Linked DNA regions of Daphnia pulex. The protein of the gene in region 2 purifies or fractionates together with the protein of the main gene of each other region. This does not show direct contact. Links are inferred from orthologs where the notes say so. Each region holds a gene or a part of one and is shown on either strand. Other genes may lie near its edges. The genes, in order: WD repeat-containing protein 6-like and putative tRNA (cytidine(32)/guanosine(34)-2'-O)-methyltransferase.

The links.
Region 1: the proteins of putative tRNA (cytidine(32)/guanosine(34)-2'-O)-methyltransferase (region 2) and WD repeat-containing protein 6-like purify together in Homo sapiens (affinity purification with mass spectrometry; 3 studies listed by BioGRID and IntAct, with this or other methods). This does not show direct contact. The link is inferred for Daphnia pulex from reciprocal best matches to the Homo sapiens genes FTSJ1 and WDR6.

The regions. Positions count from the first base shown.
Region 1 is NC_060026.1:12,995,742-13,002,737, forward strand, and holds the start of WD repeat-containing protein 6-like, read left to right. Parts: upstream 1-2,858; 5' UTR 2,859-2,979; intron 2,980-3,013; exon of another isoform or gene 3,014-3,052; 5' UTR 3,053-3,084; coding exon 3,085-3,160; intron 3,161-3,219; coding exon 3,220-3,403; intron 3,404-3,457; coding exon 3,458-3,625; intron 3,626-3,684; coding exon 3,685-3,823; intron 3,824-3,898; coding exon 3,899-4,264; intron 4,265-4,329; coding exon 4,330-4,917; intron 4,918-5,011; coding exon 5,012-5,248; intron 5,249-5,347; coding exon 5,348-6,024; intron 6,025-6,135; coding exon 6,136-6,524; intron 6,525-6,600; coding exon 6,601-6,845; 3' UTR 6,846-6,880; intron 6,881-6,955; exon of another isoform or gene 6,956-6,996. Other genes in the region: repetitive proline-rich cell wall protein 1-like, read right to left, coding at 850-1,944, 2,038-2,058. UniProt on the Homo sapiens protein: Together with methyltransferase FTSJ1, methylates the 2'-O-ribose of nucleotides at position 34 of the tRNA anticodon loop of substrate tRNAs. Required for the correct positioning of the substrate tRNA for methylation.
Region 2 is NC_060025.1:8,047,478-8,054,044, forward strand, and holds putative tRNA (cytidine(32)/guanosine(34)-2'-O)-methyltransferase, read right to left. Parts: upstream 3,197-6,567; 5' UTR 3,180-3,196; coding exon 2,957-3,179; intron 2,900-2,956; coding exon 2,651-2,899; intron 2,590-2,650; coding exon 2,380-2,589; intron 2,318-2,379; coding exon 2,116-2,317; intron 2,031-2,115; coding exon 1,904-2,030; 3' UTR 1,728-1,903; downstream 1-1,727. Other genes in the region: serine/threonine-protein kinase PLK1-like, read right to left, coding at 1-97, 159-254, 321-538, 605-829, 904-1,005. UniProt on the Homo sapiens protein: Methylates the 2'-O-ribose of nucleotides at positions 32 and 34 of the tRNA anticodon loop of substrate tRNAs. Requisite for faithful cytoplasmic translation.

The DNA.
Region 1 (6,996 bases), on a different chromosome or scaffold from region 2:
CCGGCCAAATGAATTAGTAGTAAGTAGAAGGTGATGACTGAATCTTAGTAACACTTTGCTTAAAGAAAACAAATTGTTACGACTGACGAAATTCATCTTTGTTCGAAAAAGTCCAACCCTTTTTAAATAATGAAGGTCAATGACGATTTAATAACAAAATACCTCGAAATGGATTAAAATAATCCAAGTCGCGGCATGTTTATCGACAGAAAAGTTTGAACTAGGGGAATCTCGCGCCAGAAAGTGGTGCAAGCAAAAGGGTGGTCGTATACCTGGATTGGCCGTATGGGCAGGCGGTCTGATAAGTGGACCAGCACTGTAACGATAATCACTCCACTTCAGACACAAATGTACAGTCCTTCGGTTATTTCAGTCAATTACATCCTTGGTGGATTAATTCGAATTTTGCTTGCTCTATTTCATTCTTCAATTCTTCATGACAAGTCACCCTGATAAGTAATGAAGTCGTTAAAGTTTTGCTCAAGCGTTTGCTTTGTAGAGATAAAGAAAATGATAAAAGCAGATTTTGATTTCGATATATATTTCCAATGCACGCAAGGTGTGTTCAACACGGGAGAAATAACATAACAAATGAAGTCATCTGATATTTAACATTATTGATACTATCTTTTCAGCTCTAGACAATTTTGATGCGTCAGCTGTTTTATGTAGACTGAAGTACGAATTATGTTGAATACGACGAGGGAACTGGATAATTTAAAAATTGTGCTTTTGATGATAAAGGAAAATGGTGAAATTAATTCAGATTTAATCTTTCAATTTTTCGAAAATTGAAAGTGAATTGACTTAAATGAGTAGAAATTATAACTCGCATTAGGATCTCACCTCTTAAACTTTAAACTGTTGAAAGTCAAAAGCGTTTGGTGTTAAAAAGTCCTCGAATTTGGGGAAACTAAAAAAATCTTCATTGGGTCCTTTGTTGCTTTCTGGGTAGTTTGGATCCTGGTTGTAAGATGTAGGATATTGAGGCTCGGCCGGGGGAGAATAAGGAGCTTCTTCGTAGGCTGGAGGTGAATAATCCTGTGGTTTGTAGGCAGGAGCTTCGGAATAAGCAGGAGCTTCGTAGTTTGGTGACTGCGGTGGTGGATAAGGAGCCTCAGTGCTGTGAGCTGGTGGGCTGTATTCCTCTGGTTGTTGGTAAGCAGGGGCCTCTGGGTAAGCTGGTGGAGAGTAAGCAGGAGCCTCTGGATAAGCTGGTGGAGAGTAAGCAGGAGCCTCTGGGTAAGCTGGTGGAGAGTACGCAGGAGCCTCTGGGTAAACGGAAGGCGTCGGAGCTTTGTAACTAGGGACGTACGGAGGAGAGTAAGGAGCTTCAGTGTAAACGGGAGCTGGAGGGCTGTAAGAAGGTGGGCTGTAAGATGGTGGGCTGTAAGAAGGTGGGCTATAAGCAGGGGGGCTATAAGCAGGGGGGCTATAAGCAGGGGGGCTGTATGCAGGAGGGCTATAAGCAGGGGGGCTATAAGCAGGGGGGCTATAAGCTGGAGGGCTGTATGCAGGAGGGCTATAAGCAGGAGGGCTGTATTCTGATGGACTGTAAGCCTGTTGATTGTAGGATGGCTCTGGTTGACTATGCGCTGGAGCTTTGTAGTTTGGCTTGGGTGCTCCGTATTGGGCTTTTGGTGGTCCGTATTGGGGCTTAGGGGCGCCGTATTGAGCTTTAGGAGCGCCGTATTGAGCTTTAGGAGCACCATACTGTGGTTTTGGCGCTCCGTAGCTTGGTTTTTTCTTATGTTTGTCAGATTTTAAAAACCCGAAAATTCTGCTCTCCTGTTCCTGTTGTCCGCTACTGCGCACATATGTCAAGTTCCTCAAACCAACATTCGACTTTTGTTCAACTTTTTTTCCAGTGGTCTCCGCCGCTAAATTGCCATCGAATCCGACAACTGCAAGCGCCAGCAGTGACAGCAGGATAGAGGCGAAGATCTGTACAGCGTAATCAAATTAAAATGATCAACTGAATGAATTAATTTCTGAAAATAATTTCCGCGATTGAAACTGAATGAAGCAAAAATTTACCTTTGATGCTCCGTGTCTCATGTTGATTAGGATGTAAGTTTTCTTAATAGTCAATGTTATACTTGATTTCTTTCACGAAGAAGCTACACTGAAGTGAAGCTCGAGAACTTGAGATGAGAACACTGATGCAAATTTGAGAAGAATGACTCCAATTTATATCAGTAGATAAACTCCGCCTTCCTTGAAACAAGCCGTCGCCCATCTTCACAAAACACAAACTCATCCTTTGTTATTTGAGTCGCGGGTGACGTGTTTCTGACTTTCCCTGGAGCGATCGTATATTGTGTGGTTTATATTACTGGTTTGAGCTACTAACCTGGTCTGGCTGTTGTCTTATTGCATTACCGCTGATGGCTTTGAATCAGCCAAAAAATGGCGGGGCCTAGACGGTGATTGATCGCCAAATTGGCAAAACAGTGACCGCAGGAAAGTGTGAAGAAATTCGGAAGATTCCACCAATCCAATTTACCAACAACAGCTCAATTCGGATGAAAATTCGTTCCACTGCAAAGCACAATCCCGAACTGAGAAAGTGGAATGTAGCGTATTCTGCGAGCATCAATTCCGTTGTCACGATTTCGGAAAAAACCCACACGGCACTCTCTTATTTATAACCAAAATAGAAATTCAACTACTAAGATATTATACTGGTAGCTTGATTCTCGTATTCAATTAATATCCGACAATACGGAAGTTGACGATTCGGCACACATGAGAAACACATTCCGTATAATACGATATACATGCTTATTAGTAATTGCTGTCTGAAATAGGTTATCGATAAACTCGACAGGTAAATCTCTGAAGGACTGAATTTTCCAGGTTCATTGACCTTCTTTCCCAAGACCATTGCGGTTACACTAATGAAGGAAGGAAGTAAAAACCGTTTGAAATTGCCGCGGAAGTAATTTGTTTATACAACATCACCACCTATGAATGAAGGTAGGAACCTGCTAGCAGACGAAAGGTATTTTTCACGTGCTCGCTACTATTTACATCCATCAGTTTTATTTAGCACGAATTTTTGGAGGGAAGTGAAGCAGAATCATGGTACTAAAGAAATTATATTTACAAACGCATGTTACTGCTTTGTGTACCGTTGAACCTCATTTTTTATTAGAAGGTGTGTATAAAATGAAGTAAAATTCCGTTCTATTTAACAGTGTTGTTTATGAACTGCAGGTTGCGGAGGCTTTATAAACCTTTATGACTTCGACTCTAACGAGCTTTTGGAAAGCCTCGACATATTTCGAGGTGCCAGAATTCATGGTATTCGATATTCACTGCATAATAAAACAGTGATTGTTTTCGGTGGAAAGCTGTTTGCACTGGTGTCATTCAACGATTCTAAAACTGCTCTACCGAGGTTAATTGCTACATAAAAATGTAAATTTAGCTGGTTGCTATAACATTTCATCAGATTGAAACTTTTACAGAAATCCAATGAAGCTGACTGGATAAGGGATGCTAAATTTGTAAATAATGGGGATTATCTTGTCAAATTAACTTCTCACAACAAAGTTATCATCGAAAAAACGTCTTCTGAAGCAGAAACTGTTGAAGTACAAGGAGATGAACAGTGCATATTGTAAGTAGTGATGAATGCTGTTTGTAGGTTCCTTATTATTAACTTTACGTTCTACTCAGATACTGTGGCAAAATTCTGGGCGAAGATCTTTCACAGTTGACCATTCTGGCAGGGACTGTATTTGGCAACATCCTTGTTTGGGCAGCCTCACCATCTCAACAGAATAAATGTCTCTTCCACAGATTAACTGGTCACAATGTAAATCTATAGCTCTAAATTTAGTTTACTGTAAAGTCGTGCTAATATTTTTATTGCTATTGCTGTCTCTTGCAGGGTGTCATCTTCTCTATAAATTATGACGAAGTTTCGCACACTATCATATCAACGTCAGACGATAGATCTGTTCGTTTTTGGAGTCTCCAATGCGAAGACGAAGTGCCAAACAAATTGAGCCTCTGGAGTTTATTTCAACGATCGAAAATTCATCCCCAAAACGAACTTTATGGTCATGAAGCCCGTGTTTGGAACAGTGTCATAATCCGTCAAAATCAGTGTGATTCGGGACTGGTAGCCAGTTTGGGTGAAGACTCCCGTATTTGTTTGTGGGATTTGACGAGCGGCAAATTGGTATCCAAGTTTGATGCTCACCCTGGAACCAGTGTATGGGCTGCCGTGTGGGATTCACGACTCCAATTATTGGTTCGTTATTTTGACAGGCAAATACGAGTTTCGCTTAATGTATTCATGAATTTGTTTATTCTCAGGTAACTGCTGGAGGAGAAGGTTCGACACGAATCTGGAACGCCAATCATTTACAGGAAACGAGCTGTCGTCAGCTCCAGCTCACCGAAGACGGCCAAGTTCCACGTTTAGTGATCGTTACATCCACGGGTTACTACCGCCACTTGGTGGCCAGTCAGCTGGGCATCATTTACGGATGGGATAGTCACGCCCAGATTTGGGTCTCCCTCTTTCAGGACGAGGGACTCGGCAACGGCAGCGTCTTGGATTCCGACGGTCGGACGATTATATTTGGAACGCGTACCGGAGCTGTGTTCGTGTTCGCTTCCGGCCCGTCGTCCTTGGAACTGCTGGCGACCCATCAGCTGGAAAAGACGAAAATTTATAGCCTGCATTTGGTCGCATCGCAGCAGCAAGAGTTTATGGCCTGTCTCGATAACGGTCGTCTGCTGCTTATGAATGTACTCGGCGGCAGCGAGTCACCACCCAGGGCCCAATTTATTCTCCCCGACGGCAAACAGCGATGGCCCAGCTGTGTTCTGGCCACCCAAAATCGATTCATGATGGGCGATCGTGAAGGGAGCTTTCATCTTTATTCGACCGAAAAAGAGGTTGGTTTTTCGGGGATTTTTACGACCTCCGACAAACAGTTACAAATCGAGAAATGATTTCTGATAATAATCAACATTTATTACTTTATTTTAGACTCCGCTTCAATCTTTTTCGCATATCCATGGCAAGAATGGCTTGACTGACATTCAGAGCGATCCGAACGGCCAACATCTTTATTACACCGGAGGAAGAGACGGTCGAATCGGTCTCTGGCGGTTAACCGACGACCAGAATCAACTGGAACTTTTGTCACTTACTAACACCAGTCTCGGTTGGATTGCCGGCTTGCGATGGATCGACCAGCAGTTAACATACCTGGCCTTTCAGAGCGTAAGTACCTACTTATCCATATGGAAATTTTGAAAAAAATCTATAATCAATTCAAATTTGATGCAATATTTTGTATTGTGTCTATCCAAATTTATTCAGGATCGGTTCGTTGTGTGGTCGAGTGAGCAACAGCGGAGTCTCATGCAAGTGCCTTGCGGGGGAGGCCACCGATCATGGGACTTTGACGTGACGTCGTCTGATGTCACTTTCCTGTTCATCAAGGACAGACACATTTACGAGAATCGACGTCCATTGAGCGCCGTTTTCAACTCGTCGCTGCCTGGACGCTGCGGAGGGCACAGCAAATCGATTTGCCGTGGCAGGTTCGTCGGATTCCACGACGACTCGCCGCTCGTCTTGACTGGAAGTGAAGACACGACGATGAGACTGTCGCGATTGGATCGGCGTTCCGCCCAATCGCTGACCGTCATAACCAAACACGTTTCCAGCGTCCGAGCCCTGGCCGTCAAGGAACTGGCATGTAGGTCTGCAGGGACGTGGCTGTGTGTTTCAGCCGGCGGCAGAGCCCAGTTATCGGTCGGATTACTGACACTATCTGGCCAGGGCGATCAAGTGCACGTCATTCACCGTGACGTGCGTTCGCATTTCTTGCGCGGTTGGCTCCGCCGGGCGGCCACCAATAAGCCCTGGATTCACGGCAGCGATCAGCTGTCGCTCATCCCCGACCCTGAAACCCGCTACATGGACGTCGATGTGGTAGACCGTGGCGACAGCAATTTCCATATTATCGCCGCCTGCTCCGATAGCTTTATAAGGTTTGTCTCGTACATTTGTTGCGTGCATTGAAATTTTTCACTTTTTTTGTTTGTTGTTCCAAATGTTTAAAACAAAAAATTCTACTGTCACATTTTCATTTTTTTTTCCAGGATTTTTTATCTATCCCTGGAGGGTGGCCGGTTAGACTTGTTTCACGAACTCAACTTCCACAATTGCTGCGTCTTGCTGGTCAAAGTGGTGGCCGATCCGGATGGCAATACCATCCTTTTCTCCGCCGGAACAGATGGCCGGCTGGCTGTGTGGGACGTAACAGTTGTGGAAGAAGATAAGGCCATGGATCCCTTGGACAGCCTGTCCATTCATCAATCGGGCATTAATAGTTTGGACTGCCAATGGATCGACCTTAATCGCATGCTGGTTCTGACTGGGGGCGACGATAACGCTCTGATCTGCACCAAAGTGGAAATCAGCTGCGAAAGGAATTTACTGCGATTAATCGATCAGCAAAAGCTGTTCCCCCACGCAGCCCAAATCTCCGGTAACTTATTGCCGATATTGTTTGTTTTTTTTTCACTTTGAATGTTGTTTGCTGATAACTTTTAAATTGGTTACAGGAGTAGCTCTGCTGGGTCACAACTTGTGTTTAAGCGTGTCACTGGACCAGCGTCTGATCCTCTGGAAGCGAGAGGACACTCGACTTATGTGGCAGTCGGCCGTTTGCTGCGACGTCTCCGACATTCAAGGGCTGCATGTGTCCGCGGGTGCCACTAAAACTTTGTCCAAAGTCCTGGTTTATGGTCAAGGTATTCAAGTCTTTGAAGTGGACGACGACTCGTTAAACATCGCCCACACGATTTAGACTATTCATCTGTCGACCCGTTCTAACCAACTAAGGTAAAAAAGAAAAAAAATACAACATATTATTTTCTTCTTTGCACGGCACCTTTTACATCACTCTTGTCTTGGTAGTTTTAGATTATTTTGTTGTGAAATTATTTTGACGACCAAAT
Region 2 (6,567 bases):
ACGAGACGGAACATGAAACTCATTCTTTTTGATTTTGCTGTAGGTATCCTTGAGCGACTGTGTTTCAAAGGGAGGATGCCCAACCAATAAAGTGTATCTAGGGATTGCAAAGAAAGTAAATAAACATTCCAACACCATTTATTTAACATGAAACTTACAAAATGCAGCCCATAGACCAAATATCCACTTCATAACTGTGGCCTTTTTTGCACAAAACTTCGGGTGCAATGTAGTTGGGAGTGCCACACAGAGTCCTATCAACAGTAAAGTAGATAAAACATTTAGAAAAGCTTACAAACAGTGAGCACAAAATATCTTACTTTTTCCTTTCGCCATCAAAATCTAACTTTGTTGCAAGGCCAAAGTCTCCAATCTTGAGCTCCATGTCTTCATTGAGGAAAATATTACCCAGTTTCAAGTCTCTGTGTATTATCTTGTGTTCGTGGAGATGCTTAACACCAAGAAGAAGTTGGTGCATGAAGCACCGAGCTTCAGGTTCAGTGATCGCCTTTCTTCTTTTGTGCAACTCCATGAGACTCTTAAAAAAGTAACACAACATTGAAAAAACTAATTCGAAAAACAAATGAAATGGTATGGCACTTACCCTTCTTTTGCAAAGCTCCAAAACAATGAAGACAAAGTTACTGTCCTCAAAAAAACTGTAAAATCCAACAACGTGTTTATGGACCAGCGAGCGATGAATAGAAATCTCCTGGGCCATCTTATCCTTCTGGTGCTGCTTTTGCAGAAGATGCTTGGAAACTATTTTGCCAGCGAAGATCTGGTTGGTAGCGCTGTCTGTGAGCTCATAGCATTTGGCAAACCCACCCTAGTTATTCAATCAATTTGAAAGCCATTTGTTATTTCAATTGCTAAGTTACATTGCTTCAACTTTTCTCTTACCTTTCCAAGAAATTTGCCTCTCACGTAACGTTTTTTGGTGCCAGGATCAAGAAGAATATCAGGGATGATTTCAGGTTCAGGTACTGGCTTATTGGAATTCATTTTGAAATTCGTAATTAAAATCGACACCGATCAAATGAAATAAAATAGAATGGGGGTTAAAAATGCTCGTCTTTTCAATCAAGACAGTGTGTAAAATAATTCTCGAATAGATTGGCGGTTAAATTAAAAACTTTCGGACCAACGGTCACCACGAACGTCTTCTCTCGTTCAAGGGAGGCTTTTAACAGTTGCAGCAGGCAACATTCAAATTGTTGGAGGCTCGAGTTCTTCAAATACCTAACGGTTTGAAATGCAACATTGCCATATTTTTCAAAATGGTGATTTTGCTTATTTTGTAACGTTTTTGCGGTTTTTGTTAAATTTCTTTTTCAAATTTTTATTGTTTTTATTCTATTTTAGCAAATACTATTTTAAATTATAGAATTAAAAAAAAAATTTTACTACGGTACTACAAGATTTTTCGAAATACAAAATAAGATTACAGATCATGAGATCAGATGGAATGGAACTAGAAAATAGAAATGTTGTTTTTGTATGAAATAATTACACCAACCAGGCCAGCCAAATACATAAACCTAAAATAGCCTTAATCACTCCATCATTAGTTAGTTAAAATTTCAATTTTAGGTGAGCATCGGTACTGGTGCTTATATTTTTTATGTAAACCTTGTTTGAAAATTTAATAAAAAAAATTGTCAGTTGAGTTGACATAATTCATCTTAAGAACTGTTGTTTCAATGAAATAACGAGAAATTGCACGATTGCATAGACCAAGTCCTCCTTTGTTGTTTATTAAATGTTATATTTTCTGGTAGATGATTAATATTTGAATGATTAGTTAGAGGCATAATCATCTACTAGAAAATACAACAGCAATGAAAAATGTTGCAACAAACGATATTTCTTCAGCATTTGTCGTGACGAAGTAAACTACTATCTATTCCTTCAATTCAAGAGATTCCATTTTGGTAAGCTGATCCACTGCAGGCTTTGCTAATTGATCTTGTTTCCTTATGCAAACGGCTTCTTGGTACGGTGGATTTATCGGAGTTTGTGTTGGTGGTCTATAAATTAAAAAAAGAAATATGTTTTATGAATAAAGCCATACATTTTCATGTTTCGTCGTCATAACGACATCCGTTTTATTACCGGAATTTATATTCTGCGTCCAAAGGATAGCTCATGTCAGAGTCGTACGCACTGAGATCACCGCATGCCAAAAAGGGCACTATCACTCTGTTAGGACCTTCCCATTCATTCCAGTCACAATATTGGTGGTCCAACAGAGGATTTGACATATTTGGGATGTAGCCACTTGGAGGAGAATAATTCTGACAGACAACAAATGCCTCTGCAAAAAGGGAAAATAATAGTTATTACATTGTAAAATATATGCTCCCACCATATACATACCTATACTTGAATTCCTGGAACTCATTGGTTTTGCCACGGTGACTTTAGGGAAAAATATTCTAAGCTGTGAGTAAAGCAATGTAATATCTCGTCCCCTGAAGATTTTGGCAACAAAAATCCCACCATCCTTGAGAACATGAGTGGTGATGTTTAAGGCTGCTAAAAGCAGTTGGGCTTGGACATATTCATCAATGTCATGCAATCCAGTAACTGAAAATTGATAGCATTTAGTCAAATTAGCAAGTAAACCCATGAAGTCAGCTATAAATACCATCTGGTGCACCGTCACAGACAACCAAATCTGCCTTTTCCCCTTCAAAATAGGAAATAATTTTTTCTGCTGTAGATAACTGTGTGATGTCACCTTGAATTTGAATGACACCAGGTAAAGGTGCCATCGCTTGCAAATCTACAGCGACAATTTTAGCAGAAACATTTTCATCTTTGTTATGTAACTTTCTGGTTAACACTTGGCTCCAACTGCCTGGAGCTGCACAGAGGTCCACTGCATTTTTAACTCCTTAAAAAGAACAAGAATCAATATAAAATACCAAATATCCATACACTTTTAACATACCTTCGAATATACGAAATTCTTCATCAATTTGTAGTAGTTTGAAAGCCGAACGAGCCCTCCATCCTTCTTCTTTAGCCAATCTGTAATAAACGTCTCGTTTATCTTTTGAGGTTTTTCCCATTATTATATTGTTGACGATACGACGAAATTTTGATAACAAAGTCTCGATACAACACGTTTCCAGCAGACTTTTCAAGAAGACTGAGACACTGAGTGACAGCATGCAAGGATACAAAACAAATGGTGCAATGTTAGCAGACGACTCTAACGATTGGTTAACTATGACGTGTTGGTTAACGTTGTTAAATTAACTGAAGACGGAAATTTGTCTGAAAATTTGACTGTGTAGACACAAGACAGAGAATCTTTTTTAGCGTAACATGCGGAAGACAACGGCAGTGAAAATGACAGAAGACCAAGAAGAAAGTGATGGCGGAGGAGGCAGCAGCAGGGATGCTCTGATATAACAATTCCATCCGGATACAAAAAGAGTGGAGGACGACAGACGTGACAACTCCTAGGAATATTTGCGGACATATCCAACAATAAATGAATGGTCGTTAATTTTTTTAAATAGGATGGGAAGGAGAAAGTGTTTTTTAAAGTAAGAAAATGTCAAACTTGTACCGCAAGCGGTATAGTCTATGGTATAACGGACAATGTTGTCGTCATTGATGAGAGATTAATTTTCGACTTACTTTTTCGTGGCTTCCAACGATATGCTGATAAAATCGGCTACGCGGCAGCAGATGGTCGAGCCACGGGCCCCAACACGCCTTCTTCAATTCATGCCTATTGACGATTTTCTTCTTTTGTGTGTTTGTGTAGTTGGTTGGGTATAGACTCCTTCCTCTGGTTTCACTTTCATGACATTGGCCGATTGGCGATAACCCAAAAAATGCGAAACTCTCAGTGAAGATTTAAGTTGATTGAATCCATGATAGCATGAGAACACATCTTGTTGCAATCTTCGTCCGGATGGAACACATTCTTCAAGGTGAGATTCCGGAAATATCAATAATAATAGCGTCGGCACTATTCGATCTGTGGGGGACGATGATGTACGGCGCTCCAACAAGAATGAATTCCTTCGGCGTAGACCTTCTTCCTAGTTTTCTTTGCAGTCTGGGCGGCTGCCGACGATGCTTTGTAGAGTCTCTTTCGCCGCCTGAGAATAATTGGAAGGCCAAAAATCCCTAACAAAGCTTAAATATAGGCTGATATCGAATGGCAAATGAACTGAATATAAAGGCTGAGTAGACTAGTTCGACTAGTTACTAAAAATACAACCTTCACTAAGTCATTTCTGGCATGGATGATGTGAGCTGGAAACATCACCATAGAAAAAACTGGGGCCACAAAATGAGAAGCATTTTCGGATTCGCAGAGGCCATACTTTTTGATACTGCAGCTAGTGCAGCAATATTTCCCAATCTGAAAAATAAATGAAAATTTTGTTAGTTAAATCCCATTTCAAAAGTAAGAATAGAAGAAAAGAAAAGAGACCAAGAATTTTACCTAGTGTCTATGAGATCAATACGAATAGACGACAATTCCAGGAAATTTGTTATCTTGGAAGGAGAGGATCGTCAAATGGCATTTTTCGACGATTAACTCGATATCAGTTTTGTGTTTTTTACGAAGTAAAATATCAGTAAATTACCTGTACTTACTCGTGGGTTTAAATATTCATGATGGTGTGGTTCTGAATGGAGTATTCCACCAAGCCTAAAGCGGATGTCTTCTTCATGCTTTCCACATTTCGTCTACAGCGGTGAGTTGTGTAAGTTTAGACACATCTTGCATTTTCGTATTCGTAGTGTCGACAGGTTGGTTTCGTATTAGAGAAAGATTTCCTTACTGAAGAAACTTGGTTACAAAAATGAAAAAAAAAAAATTACAAAGTTAAAGTATTGCGTTGGTCAAACTAGGAATGCCATTGCTTTTGTAGGAGTCCAGTCAAGATCAGAAATCACGAACTTTGACAGTAACACTGAGAGATTTGGCAGCGGGCATTCTTCTTCTTCTAAAATTTTCATTACAAATAAAAACATGATAATTAATCTCCCATACCTGCAAATAAATTGATGCAACTCCTGTGTAAATAAAACATTTTTTTTGTGCATGGAAGGTTAGAAATAGCTTCACACAAAGTCCATGAAAATAGTTCAGCACTTAACAAAGCTATTCTATGCAATAGCAAAATGACGAAGAAGTTTACAATTACATAAACATAAACCTCTACATTTTTATTTTAAGCGTAAAACTTCTACAACAAATACACTAAATAAAATGGTTGACCGCGAATGAGAAGTTAACATATGTAAAGGGGTAACACAAAAATTTTACGTGTTTATCACTTGAAATCCGAAAGGGAAAAATGAAATTAAGTCGATTTAGCATGTAATGCACGCTTGTAAAAGTGCACGTTAATACTCCAGTCCTTGTTCCACGTCATTATGATAATAATTGGCAGATTTGTTAGTTTTGCTGGTGTTGTTGAGCAGTTTTGACATGTGCTGCGTAGCCAGCAGACACAATTCTGGGTAGTTTTTAATCAAATGTATCCATTCCGGCTGGGAGCAGATTTCAAGACTGTTGGCTGCCAAAAACTTCAAGGTTGCTTCCTTAAGCTTTGCTACTGAGTGGAAATGAGACCAAACCAGTAAACGGATGGCATTGTCGAGATTCACACGTTTCAGCAAAGCATCGGTGCATTCGGTTTTGAGGTTGTCGATGTTATATTTGTCCGCGGCCTCGAAGAGCAACTGCGTCATGTTTTCTTCGGCCAGTTTGGGGGCGCTGCCCGTGTACAGGTAGATGAGGAGCTGCCGGAACACTTCAATGTCAATGTCAGTGATGGTCACTTTTTTGGTTTTTGATTCCAGAAACTCAGATCGAAACATAGCAGAGAAAACTGGGCTGCCAGCCGATAGAATAACAACGTGAGCACCAACAGTCTGGCTGTCTTTAAAGTCGAAGTGCACGTCGCATAATTGTTGGTTGTAAAACATTTCGGCCAGCCCCTTCGACATAATGATCAGATTCTTTTCTATTATTGTACTGGTTCCAAGATCTATCCAAATGGATATTGAATAAACATTCGTGTGGAAAACTCCATCACTTGGATTCTTTACTTCCATTTTCCATTTGTTAGAACCAAACTTCACCATCGGTAACATGAAAGATTCAGAACTTGCAGTACTACATTTGTAATAAGTTTTCATCCACACATCAATTGAACTTGACAGTTTGGTTCCCAGATCTTTTGAGAGAAAGGAAGTTTCACAAAACTTTTGCCGTTTTGTTTGTGGTTGTTCTTGCTCATCAATTAAACTTGAGCTCAATGTGCTCATTTCAGCACCACTGATGTCAGGGTCATCACATGGCATCATTGGCATCTCTTTGACAATAAGGATGAATCCAGTAGTATTTTCTTCAGCATTCCCATAATTTACATCATCATAAATGATTATGTAACTGCGGTTTGAGTGGGACCCACAGAGTTGAATTGTCTTTTCGGCGATACCAATGTTTCCAGTAAATGTAAATCCGAAATGCAAATGAATATGGTACAATCCATTCCTCATTTCTTTCACCGTGACTTCTGG